3 linked regions of the Yarrowia lipolytica genome follow. The protein of the gene in region 3 interacts with the protein of the main gene of each other region in a biochemical or structural test. Links are inferred from orthologs where the notes say so. Each region holds a gene or a part of one and is shown on either strand. Other genes may lie near its edges. The genes, in order: YALI1_B16944g, YALI1_F06830g and YALI1_C11271g.

The links.
Region 1: the proteins of YALI1_C11271g (region 3) and YALI1_B16944g form a complex in vitro, tested with the Saccharomyces cerevisiae proteins (2 studies listed by BioGRID, with this or other methods). The link is inferred for Yarrowia lipolytica from reciprocal best matches to the Saccharomyces cerevisiae genes TPK2 and SIP5.
Region 2: the proteins of YALI1_C11271g (region 3) and YALI1_F06830g form a complex in vitro, tested with the Saccharomyces cerevisiae proteins (3 studies listed by BioGRID, with this or other methods). The link is inferred for Yarrowia lipolytica from reciprocal best matches to the Saccharomyces cerevisiae genes TPK2 and BCY1.

What each region holds. Positions count from the first base shown.
Region 1 is NC_090771.1:1,692,492-1,696,504, forward strand, and holds YALI1_B16944g (uncharacterized protein), read left to right. Parts: upstream 1-1,922; coding exon 1,923-3,416; downstream 3,417-4,013. Other genes in the region: YALI1_B16922g (uncharacterized protein), read left to right, coding at 1-416. UniProt on the Saccharomyces cerevisiae protein: May negatively regulate the SNF1 kinase by promoting the interaction of the REG1/GLC7 phosphatase complex with the kinase. Deletion of SIP5 promotes resistance to artemisinin, which is probably an indirect effect of an action on the electron transport chain.
Region 2 is NC_090775.1:681,215-684,658, forward strand, and holds YALI1_F06830g (uncharacterized protein), read right to left. Parts: upstream 1,824-3,444; coding exon 633-1,823; downstream 1-632. UniProt on the Saccharomyces cerevisiae protein: Regulatory subunit of the cyclic AMP-dependent protein kinase (PKA), an effector of the Ras/cAMP pathway. Inhibits PKA activity in the absence of cAMP. cAMP activates PKA and promotes growth and proliferation in response to good nutrient conditions.
Region 3 is NC_090772.1:1,125,137-1,128,704, reverse strand, and holds YALI1_C11271g (uncharacterized protein), read right to left. Parts: upstream 1,541-3,568; coding exon 548-1,540; downstream 1-547.

The sequences.
Region 1 (4,013 bases), on a different chromosome or scaffold from region 3:
AAGTGGAATATGTCGAATTTGCTGAAGAGGTATCTGAGATCTCTCTCTCTGATTCTGAAACGGAACGCTCTTCGGTATGTTCTATGCCAGAGACGTGTGCCACTTCTGTTTCCGATCTCGACGACGATTACATGAGCGCAGAGACCGTGGCTGAACTGGCTAACAACAAGAACAAGCTTGTGGTTGTTATCGATAGCGCCGTATACGATCTGAGCGACTACAAGGCACAAAACGGACTAGTGCAAATGGTGCTGAAGTCTCTGAATGGCACAGACGCTTCGTGGCAGTTCTGGAGAATGAACACCCGACAGCAATGGGAGGAGATTCAGAAGTTTCGAATCGGAGTGTCAACAGGAGTCCCCACCAAGTACAGCCCGCCTCGAGAGCGCTTCTTCTCTCTAAGAAGAGTCTACTGATCATTTTTTTGACAGGTGTGGAGAAGACGGACAGGACGAGGAGAAGCATTAGACGAACTGGAGTCGTCACACTAACATATTTATAGCATGCATTACCAATCACACATAACCAAGAGGCAGTAGGCTAAGTATTCCAGTAGGTGCCTGTCGGGAGTAGTCGGAGGTTTAGGGGGGATGTACTGTACAAGTATCAGTACTCTCAGTCGAAAGTATGGCTACAATAGTTGATAAACAGCTCACAGAATGTAATTATGCCAGCTAAATATACCAACTATCAAAAGACTGTGCTTTGTAATGCTCATAATTATACTTGGGGGTCTTAAGTACACACATTTATTGCCTGTTGTCTCTACACGGCAACCCAAGTGAAACATGTTTCAGTGACAACGGCGAGCAAAGAACGGCTTTACAGCAAAGCAATCATAAAGGGGAGTTTGCGACACATAACAGACTCACCAAAATGAGTGTGGAAGCCTCACAGACGTCCAATGCGACATTACTTACTGAGCCATATTAGCTAGTCCTAAATATGATTGGGGTGAGAGGAGAAATAATGTGTGTACAGGTATGCTCACTTGAGTAAGGGAACTACAACCACGGCCCATCCGTGCTCAGCCACTTGTTCACGATAACTGCGCAGGCAACATATGCTCATACCCCTCCCCCACTTCACATGAAAAACCGGTGTCAGTGTCCTGGCAAAAGTTAGCCTCGGCGACCAGGGTCGCCTGCCTACCGATGTTATGCAGCAGGTTATCATTGTTATCGGTGTTATCGGTGTTATCGGGACTATCTGCGGTCACGGGCATATGTGTGGCCGATATTCCGACAGTGCACCAGCTTGCGAGCCGCGGCTTTTTCGGCTAGCGCAATTTATGGGGCTTTTCCTTTTAGAGCCCTTCCATGTGGTTTGACACCTTTGCAACCGCCGTTGTCCTTGCACCAGTAGCCGTTTTTGTCCATTCGAAATAGACTATGAGAGAGCGAGGCATTGGGAGAGTCAAGGCAATGGAGGGGGGAGCCGTTTCGTCGAGGACTGAGCTATGTACTGTAGCACCTCAACAGAAGTACGAGAACATAACATACTTAGAATGTTGGTACAATATACAGAACACTGCTACAGGAAACACCCATTATATATAACTTTTTTTCTTTTGGTAGATACACAGATATCACACAGAGACAGACACTCACAACGTTTGCACCCAATAACTTGCTCCGCCAACATGACAACACATGTCAAATGCATAGTATGATTGGTAACATGAGTGTAGAAACGAATACAACTACCGGTAGAGGTCTGTTGATGACAAAAAAATATATATTTACAGGCAAACCACATCGCAAATACCTTTTAGTCTGGTTACTATCACGTCCAAAACAGCCTCCAAGACTCGCTACACCCCCACCCCGCACGTGACCCTAACCCAAGATAAGCGCGCAACCAAACCTACACACCAGACTAAATATCGGACTCTCAAGACTCGTCTACACAGTCACTCTACCATGGGAAACGTTCCGGGAAAAGAACAGCAGGTGCGCAACGCACGGTCCGTTTCTGAGGACTACCACCGCGAAGGCCAGGTCAGATCCAAGAGGCCCTCTGCGCCTCGAGAAAAAAAGCGGGAGCCAAGAGTCTTTGTAGACCCCAATGAACAAGTGGATGGTGGCTATCTGGTGCCTCAGGGAGTCTACACCGGACCACAGGATTTCGACATTCTTGTTGTCAAGAGCCTGATGACTAGTCGCAAGCTTGCACCGTTTTTCAAGGGTCTACAGGACTATGAGGAGGAATGGACTGATCATCAACTTATGGCTGCCATTAGGGGCTTTCCTATCCCCAGTGCAGCATCAGAATCGCCTACAACCGAATCTACAGACACAAAAGACGCTTCAGCTTCCACCTCAACCCCTCACGCAATTTCCACACCTTCACATCTGTCGCCACCTACAGCTCCTCCTCAGGTGGCCATCTCGCCTCCCCGACACACTTTGTCATCGAACAACCCGTTCAGAGACCCGTTGGAGCATATGTCGCATCTGAGAATCGATCTGGACAACACCACGTTTTCCCAGAGCGCCCCAACACCGTCGTGGATGCGTTCCGGAGAACCCGATCAGGAGGACGGGGACGAACTCATAAACCCAGGCATTCTACAGTCCCCACCAAGCAGGGAGGCTCCCAAGCCACCACCCTCACGACAACGGGCCAAAACGCTCACCAACAAAGAGCCCCCGCTTATGGTCAAAATCTACAGAGACCCCATCGAGTGTCCCATTTGTTTTCTGTACTACCCAAACTCGCTCAACATGACCCGATGCTGTGCCCAGCCCATTTGCTCCGAGTGTTTTGTGCAAATGAAGCGAGCTGAACCTCATCCTCGACATGACGAGCCTGAACCTGACACGTTGCTGGGACAGCTGGATCTCATCTCCGAGCCCACAGCCTGTCCCTACTGTGCTATGTCCGACTTTGGAGTAGTGTATTCGCCTCGACACGGCCCCGGAGCCAAGGCTGCAGGAGCCAACAGTGCTGATGCCGCTGCAGCCAAAGGGAACGGTGACGAGTCTGCTATTGATGATTCGGGAGACTCATCAGACGGCATTGACACCACCAACATGGACGATGTGGCTGACAAGCTAATGCACATGTCCGGTGCAAAGCGTCGATCGTCCATCAGTGTCACCAACCCCAACGTCGTGACCGTTGATCGTGTGCGACCCGACTGGTCAAAGACGCTGGCTGCTGCTCGAGCTAGAGCTGCACGAAAGGCTGCTACTGCCAACGCTCTTCATGCCACGGCTTTTGTGGAAGGAGGCAATGGGGAGGTGGCTGGATCATCTAGATCATCGCGACGAACCCGCCAAAACCACGAACAACGGCAGGCTGCCCGTGCTCAGGAGTTGGAGCAGATCATGCTCTCAGAGGCTATGCGTCTAAGTATGCTGGAGAGCCAAGAGGCGGAAGAGAAGCGCTCCAGGGAGCAGGAGAGCAAGTAGGAAGCAAGAGTCAGGTAAAAGCGTTTGAAAAAGTCTGCCACCAAGAGCAACTTTTCCACAACCAACGAATAGATATTTATATGCATAGCGTCGAGAGTTGTAGAGAGGGTTGTAGACAGACACTAGCAGTGGAAATAAGCCAATTGCGTGTATGAGATGGTATCTGAAGGCACGATACATTATCCAATTATACAGTATTAACACATTACAATACAGTATGAGTAGCTACAATGTACGACGATACAGCTACTGTAGATGAGTTTAATGTTTATTGTAGCTACTTAGACCTTTCTATTAGCAGACAGTATCCAGTTGAGCTATGTAACCAAAAGGATTCTGCCTCGTCATATATCCTCAATACCGGATAAGTAGCAACCTGGCAATCAGGGGCCTACTACGTCGCCAAGGATCTACACTCTAGCCGCCGTAATTAATGCACTGCAGGGTCTGCAGAATGTCTTGTCTCAATTTGTGGTGCCTGCTTGAAGTGGGGTCGTATGTATATGGTACCTTGAGGGGAGATAACGTGAGACAGAAGAGTGGAAGGCGGTCTATAAGACAATTCTATCGGCTTTAAAACAATCATTGAGCAATGAC
Region 2 (3,444 bases), on a different chromosome or scaffold from region 3:
CACTCTCTTCGCATGAGAAGTCTGCGTTACCCCAAAGACATTCCTTACCCACGAAAAGATACACCAACTCTGACGAGGAAAGCTCGAAGGTCCCCTGGAAGCCTACAAATCGGTCTTGACTTATCAGGATGCGATAGGATACCCTGTCGAAGTGTCATGCTCGGTTTCACACTGACCTGGAGACGACACGCAACTAACCATGTAGCCAAGTCACCAGATTATGACCAATAAAGCCGGCAGAAAGTGATGCCATGGATGATTGATAGGGACTTGAAACTGGCCGATGAGAAATGGGACGGTGTTTGAAAGTGTTGTTGTCGATGTGACGCTGACTACTTGGACCCCAACGGAATCGGTTCCGTCTTCCACCAGCATGTACCGGTGACGAGTGCGGTTTATCTTGGATATAGCCAGTTTTACACCGTGAGCCGTCCCTACAAGTACCTTACAGTACCGTACTCCAATCAATGTATAACTTACTTATATATCCATCCAAAATACAGACCTTTATGAATCAATAGTCTGGCCAACGGAAGGACTCATCCTACACGCGACAGGCGGTCCATAACAGGTGGTCACAACAGGTAGACCGTAATAGATGGCCCACAACAGGTGCGGCTCGCACTGTCCCACTACTTTGTGGGGTCATTTTCCTTCAAATGATCCAAGACAGGACCCAGCAGTCTCTGAAATCCATCCTTACCAAGAGTAGCGACCTTGAGCTTGGTCTTGGCAGTCACGGTGGCCTGTCGAGGCAGATCGTTCAACAGAGCTACCTCTCCAAAGTAGTCACCCTGCTTAAGAGTAGCCACCACGCCAGACTCGCCCTTCTTAGTCACCTCAGCCTCTCCGCTCTCCACGAGGTAAAAGGCGTCTCCAGCCTCTCCCTCGGTGATGACGGCAGTTCCGGGCTCAACCACCTGGGACGTGAGAGCGTCGGCAAGCTTGTTTCGCTCGTACGAACCCAGATCGCTGAGAATGGGTACCTCCTTGAGAAAGCCGTCGTACATGGACCGTCGCTGATGGGTGCCATCTAGCAGAATCTTTCGGAAAGTGACTCGGTCCAGCGACCACAGTACACAGGGCTGAGTGGCCACCACGGTGGCTGCTCGGGGAGCGTTGTACATGAGGGCGAGCTCTCCAAACGAAGAGCCGGGTCCGGAAGAGTTCACCTTGACGCCATCCTTGATGAACTCGACAGCGCCGCTCTCCACAATGTAAAAGTAGTCTCCTTCGTCGCCCTGGGTGATGATCTTTTCGCCGCTGTCGCACTTCTTTTCTTGCAACGACTGCAGAACGGACCGGCATGCTTCCTCGTCAAGATTGCCAAACAGAAAGTTGTGGCTCACAGACTTGTAGAGAGACTCAAGCTGCTCGGCAGAGAGGTTGTTGGAGGCGACGCCGGAGGCAGCACCGGCAAAGGCACCGGGAGCAATGGACTCGGCAGAAACAGAGGTTCGACGAGTGAAGGGCGCAGCAGGCTCACTAGAGGCAGAGCCGGGGCCCTCTGATGACGTGTCGGCAAACGAGGACCGGAACAATGAGCCGTCTGTGCTTCTGGAAGAGGAGCCGAAGCCAGGCTCTCGGAATCCGCCGCCCAGGGGCTTGGAACGGGGTCCGTCGTCGTCAGCCTCTTCTCGTTTGGCCAGCCGTTCGTTGAAATAGTCCGCGCAGAACCGCAGAATGTCGGTCGGCTGTTTGGTGGTAACTTCGCGGTTGAGAAGGTTGAGTTCGTCCACGTAAGCGGGGGGTAGGGTCACTGGGTTAGAAAGAATGCGAAAAGAGCGACGAGGCTGCGAAATGACCATCAACCTCTTTGCCATGAGATAAACGTCTAGATAAGAATAGCTTGGCTCAGGTCACTGAGGCAAAGAATCCTAGGGCCAGAGTCAATGAGTCACGCTCAGACAATACCAGAAATTCTGGGGAGTGGGAAGAGAGCTATCTGACGGTGTAATAGACCAAGCCATTAATAATGTCATGAGTGATGGCCGCCACAGACCGTGAAGTCACATGACAGAGACAGAGAGCCGTGAACCTCGAAATAGTAGCATTTCCAGCCAGATAACAGATGAACAAGCTGAAAACTGCTCTTTCAGCAGAACCTACGAACCTGCTCATAAGCTGTCCACGACTACCACCACTCTTCACACAACCACACTCCGTCTGGTCATTACCACACATTCGACCTGGCTGGGGTCATGTGACTATAGCCTAGTCACATGACTTGTGTCTGGTCACATGACCCCAAACAGCTGCCTCATTGGCACGAAACACCACCTTTTCTCCCCCACAATGTCGCCACCACGTCGAAATGTCGAAATGAGCGCAAATCGTGACAGGGGTCGGGGAAAACGAGCAATGTTTCGCGCCGAATGAGCACGTGATTCCCTCCCACAGACCCACTCATAACCTCACGTGCCCTCCATCATGTCGCTCATAACCTCCAAGAACACCCCGGTCATACTCACTGTTGTGCGTTGTGGTGATAGTGTTGTTCAAACCATGGGGTGAATTACGTACATACATACATGCGGAGCAACCCTAACCCTGGACCTGAGAGAGGGGGGTTAGGGGGGCCGGTCTGGGGGTAGCGGCCCAGAACGGGAATGAACAGGGTTAGGGTATTTGTGAGGGCAGTGATATATGTCACGTGATGGAGCGTGGATTTCGCGGTTTCTGCGAGGCTTTTGGGTCACTTTTGGGTCATTTGGAGCGATCTGTTGTTTCGGATGGAGCATTTTACCGTAGACTGGACAGACGGTTGCAGCATTTCAGCGATAGGGGATCTAGGAGAACCTCGATTAGGTCAATTGGGGAGTGAATGGTGTTAGAATGATCCTTGTCTCCGGTGGATTTGATTGATAGTTTCAGAATTTCGATGGGAGTAGCGGAAGTGCAAAATCACATTTTTGGTTTTTTTCTTAGTATATGTATATATATTTTAATTAATCTCATCACTGTATGCACTCTTAGTTAATCCACTCAAGTGGGGGATAAGAGGATGGATAATTGACGATGGACATAGTTTGGAGAGCGAGTGTCGAAGTTGTGTCGTATTAATATCCTCTCGGTTTAATCGATTTTTCATCATTTAATTTAATTTAATTTAATTTAATTTAATTTTAATTTAATTTAATTTATATTATATATTTTTTATATTTTATAATTTTATATTTTTATATTTTCCTTTTTGTGCTTCTCTCAGAAACTTCATATCGCGGGGACGTTCTCAGACATAGTGAAAGACAGTGTGGTCTAGGGTGCAGTGCTAATAAGGAGGAATCCAGAAAGACGAATAATGGTCAGATTCGAGTGTAAAAGGTATGGATGAAATCCCCGTAACAAGAGGATTATATCGGTCCAGTTTTTATTGCAACTCGAAACCTCCACAGCTGAGAAAACCCGATATAGCCCCAATACTTGTAGTCAACACCTGCTCAT
Region 3 (3,568 bases):
AAGGAACCAGAGAATGGAGCGTGAACCGACGATGAAAACCCTGGTTGGATCCTTCTATGAGGACAGAACCACGTCCGACAAGTGGAGATCTCCTCCCCAGAAGGTTGCAGACACTGGATCCTTACACATGCGGTCCCGTATCCATTACAACAACGGTTGCTTCAACAGACTGTCACAGACTACACCATGGAGTCGTGTCACAGATCCCGCCCATCATCAATGTGTTCGGAATCGGTCTCAAGGGACGAACAGTTGCAATTGACTCACAATACTCCCCCAATTGAATCTATCCAACATCTATTTCCAACAACCGCAATCAGACCCAAACACTCCCCCCCCTCTCCCTAATACTTCTATACATACATTCCTTACATAACCTTTGCTCCAGCTGTTGAGACTGACCAGTCACGGCTTCGTGTTCCATACAGTTCCTGGAAGACAGTCATCGAGTTAACAACAACTGGTGGGACCCACTGCGACAAACAGTCGATCAACAGTAAACCTGCATTCTTCAGATTCAATCTCCCGTTCGTCGGCTGTTGGTCGTCTAGAAATCGCCAAACAACTTTCCATACGGGTCCGGACATACAATTCCATAGTCCAGCTCCTCCTCCGGGTAACTGTCAAACAACGACGTGTCGCCCACTCCACTCTGAATGGGAGGCTCATACGGAGTCTCGATATCCTTGGACAACAACTTCTCCCAAATGACCTCGGAGAACCACGGGTGGTTCTTCACGTCCTGTGGGCCGCCCTGCAGGTTACCATATCGTCGGGTGAGGTCCTTGGTGATGAGTTTGGTCAGCAAATCAGTCACATCCGGATGCAGGTACGAAGGGTACCGCACATGACCCATGAGAATGTTCTCATACGTCTTCATGGGCGTGTGGTCGTAGAAGGGCGTGTAGCCGGTGAGCATTTCATAAATGAGGATTCCGAGCGACCACCAGTCCACAGACTTGTTGTACGCCTTTGTGGTGACCACCTCGGGCGCAATGTAATCTGGCGTGCCACACAGCGTCCAGGTCACGTCGCGGACCTCTTTGGCGAACCCAAAGTCCGTGATTTTGATGTGACCGTTCTTGTCTAGCAAAATGTTTTCGGGCTTGAGGTCTCGGTAGATGATGTTGTGGGAGTGCAGGTACTCGAGGGCGAGGGTGACTTCTGCCGCATAAAACTTGGCCACGGGGTTGGGGAACCGCTGGCTCTTTCGCAGCAGCGAGAACAGCTCGCCTCCCTCCACGTAGTCCATCACCATGAACAGGTTTTTGGAGTCCTGGAACGTCCCCCACATTCTGATCAGAAATGGGTGCTCCACCAGCTTGAGCATCCGCCGCTCGTCGTTGGTGTGCTCCACCTGCTTCATCTTCACAATCTGCGCCTTTTTCAGCACCTTGATGGCGTAGTACCGGTTGTTGTGCACCGACCGAACCAGATGCACCCGGCCGAACGAACCCGTTCCAAGCGTTCGCTGGATGGAGAAGTCCGTCAACGAGTACTTGCCCTTGGAAACCGTGCTTCTGTTAGGTAGAGATGCCATAGGTGGTGTGTAGAAAAGTCCTTTGTGTAAACTGTCGCGTATCGTCCAAGAGGCGGTGTCACGTTCGTCTCTCAAATTCAAATGTCAAAAAAATCGGTCTGTAGCTGTTGCAATGCCCGTCACTAAAACAATATCGTCACCGTGCTAACGTATCGTGCGCTGGCGTGTCCCACTGCTGCAGAGGTTAATTCCAAGGGTTAGGGTATTTTGAGGGGGAACAGGCCAGCAAGACCCAGCCGCCGCTGGAGATCGACACATGCCAGAAATCAACCCGGACTTGGCCGGCTTACATACCAAACAGTCACGTGACGACATCCGAGCGCTGCCCCTGTCTCTCTGTCTCTTGTGAGGCTCGCTGCAGCGGCGCTAATGAGGCATTACCCTCCATCTCACAGCCGAAACCTTAATATATGTCGATGCTTATGTAAGCGGAATCAAGAAAGAAAAAACATAATGATGGCTGATGACTAATGGACGGGAGCGTATTTGGTATCATAGAGTTGATGGCGATCGGGTGGTCTCAATAATGGGTTTGAAATTTCGGTGGCTTCAGTATTTGTCGAGTTAGGGTATCTTTTTGTATTTTAATCGACATTTGTTGGTGCAATTGATTTACAAGTTGCGGCATGGTTTTTTTGGAGTAGTTAGGAGTTTGGAAGTACGTTTTTCTCTCCAATTATGTCTGAATTGCGCTCTCCAACCGCTGTCGTTATCTCGCATGAATGAGATTATGAGAAACATTAAACTTCCGCTTATCTAAGCGACATGCAGCCAGGAGGGGAATAGACGGTCCAAAACGGGGTTTGGAGCTGCCAGTTCAAGGCAAGGGGTATGCAGGGTTGATTTGGTTGGCTCATTATAATGGCGGGACTCGGCTGGTATGACGAACCTGACTTTTGAGTCCAAGAAAATCGAGAAATTTGCGGAAACTGAGTAATTTGGATGAGGAAAGAGATTGTAGTTACACGAAAGATATAGAAATGGACTCTCTGAGGTGTGGGAATTGTTCTTGAAAAAAACAGTCTTCGATTTGGCCTATAATTGACCAAGCTAGTCGAAAGCGGAGACAACGCACTACCCCTGTAGCCACTGGTAGTTGTCTCGGGGGTTTGAGAGGGGGCTAGAGATGAAAAAGGAAGTTGACGGGAGTCTTAGACCAGGTCAAGAGAGTACTGGCACCACTCACGACGCTCTAGTTAGTCTGGGAGGGTGGTTAAGTACGTCTTTAGTGGGACTCTTAGAATGAACATAGAATGGTGCGATCAAGACCTACAAAGACAAGGGCATAATAAGAAGAAAGAGATTGATTCGGGGAAACAATTTAATACCATCATATGATGTTCACTGTCTTTGTAGCCAACGTAGCATCTTAGCATCTCGTTTAGGGAATCTGCCCACCATGTAACTTCACCAAATGGAGCAGACGCGAATCTAGGAACATGAGAACCATGTGAGACGCGCTAGTTCTAGGTCTAATTGCTGCCTATTCCGGTTACCGTCGCATTGTTCACAGCTTCTCATGTTTCCACCCTCGGTTGTTAGTGCAACTTTAGCTGAGGTAGGGTAAGTTTATTGGATGCAAGATAGATGTGAGCTGTGTAGTTCCCTCTGGTTCCACGTTCATAAAAGTAGGTCATGTATGGTACCAAAAGGATCAGCAGAGTCTCAGGAGTCCAACGGTACATGTTACTAAGAGTTTGGTGTCATGTACATAGCTCTACGGCTACCGAAGGTGCATATGAGAGATATTTAAACTGGACAAATCTCTCTTCTGGGTATTGTACTTGTACTGCTAACTGCATTTAATCCGCTTCATGCAAATATGAAAACTTTTCTTCCATTATGTGTCGTATTTCTACAAGTGCATCTGATTAGAGTTGATGCAATGATTATCAATTTGATCGCCGAACTTTCTTCGGAAGGCAGAGGGGATCTTCCGAGACGAAATGGTTCGTGTATGGTATAAAAACAGAGAGAAAGAAGAGGAGGATCAGGCTATTAGTTAGTTTTTTTTTTTCTTTCTTCACT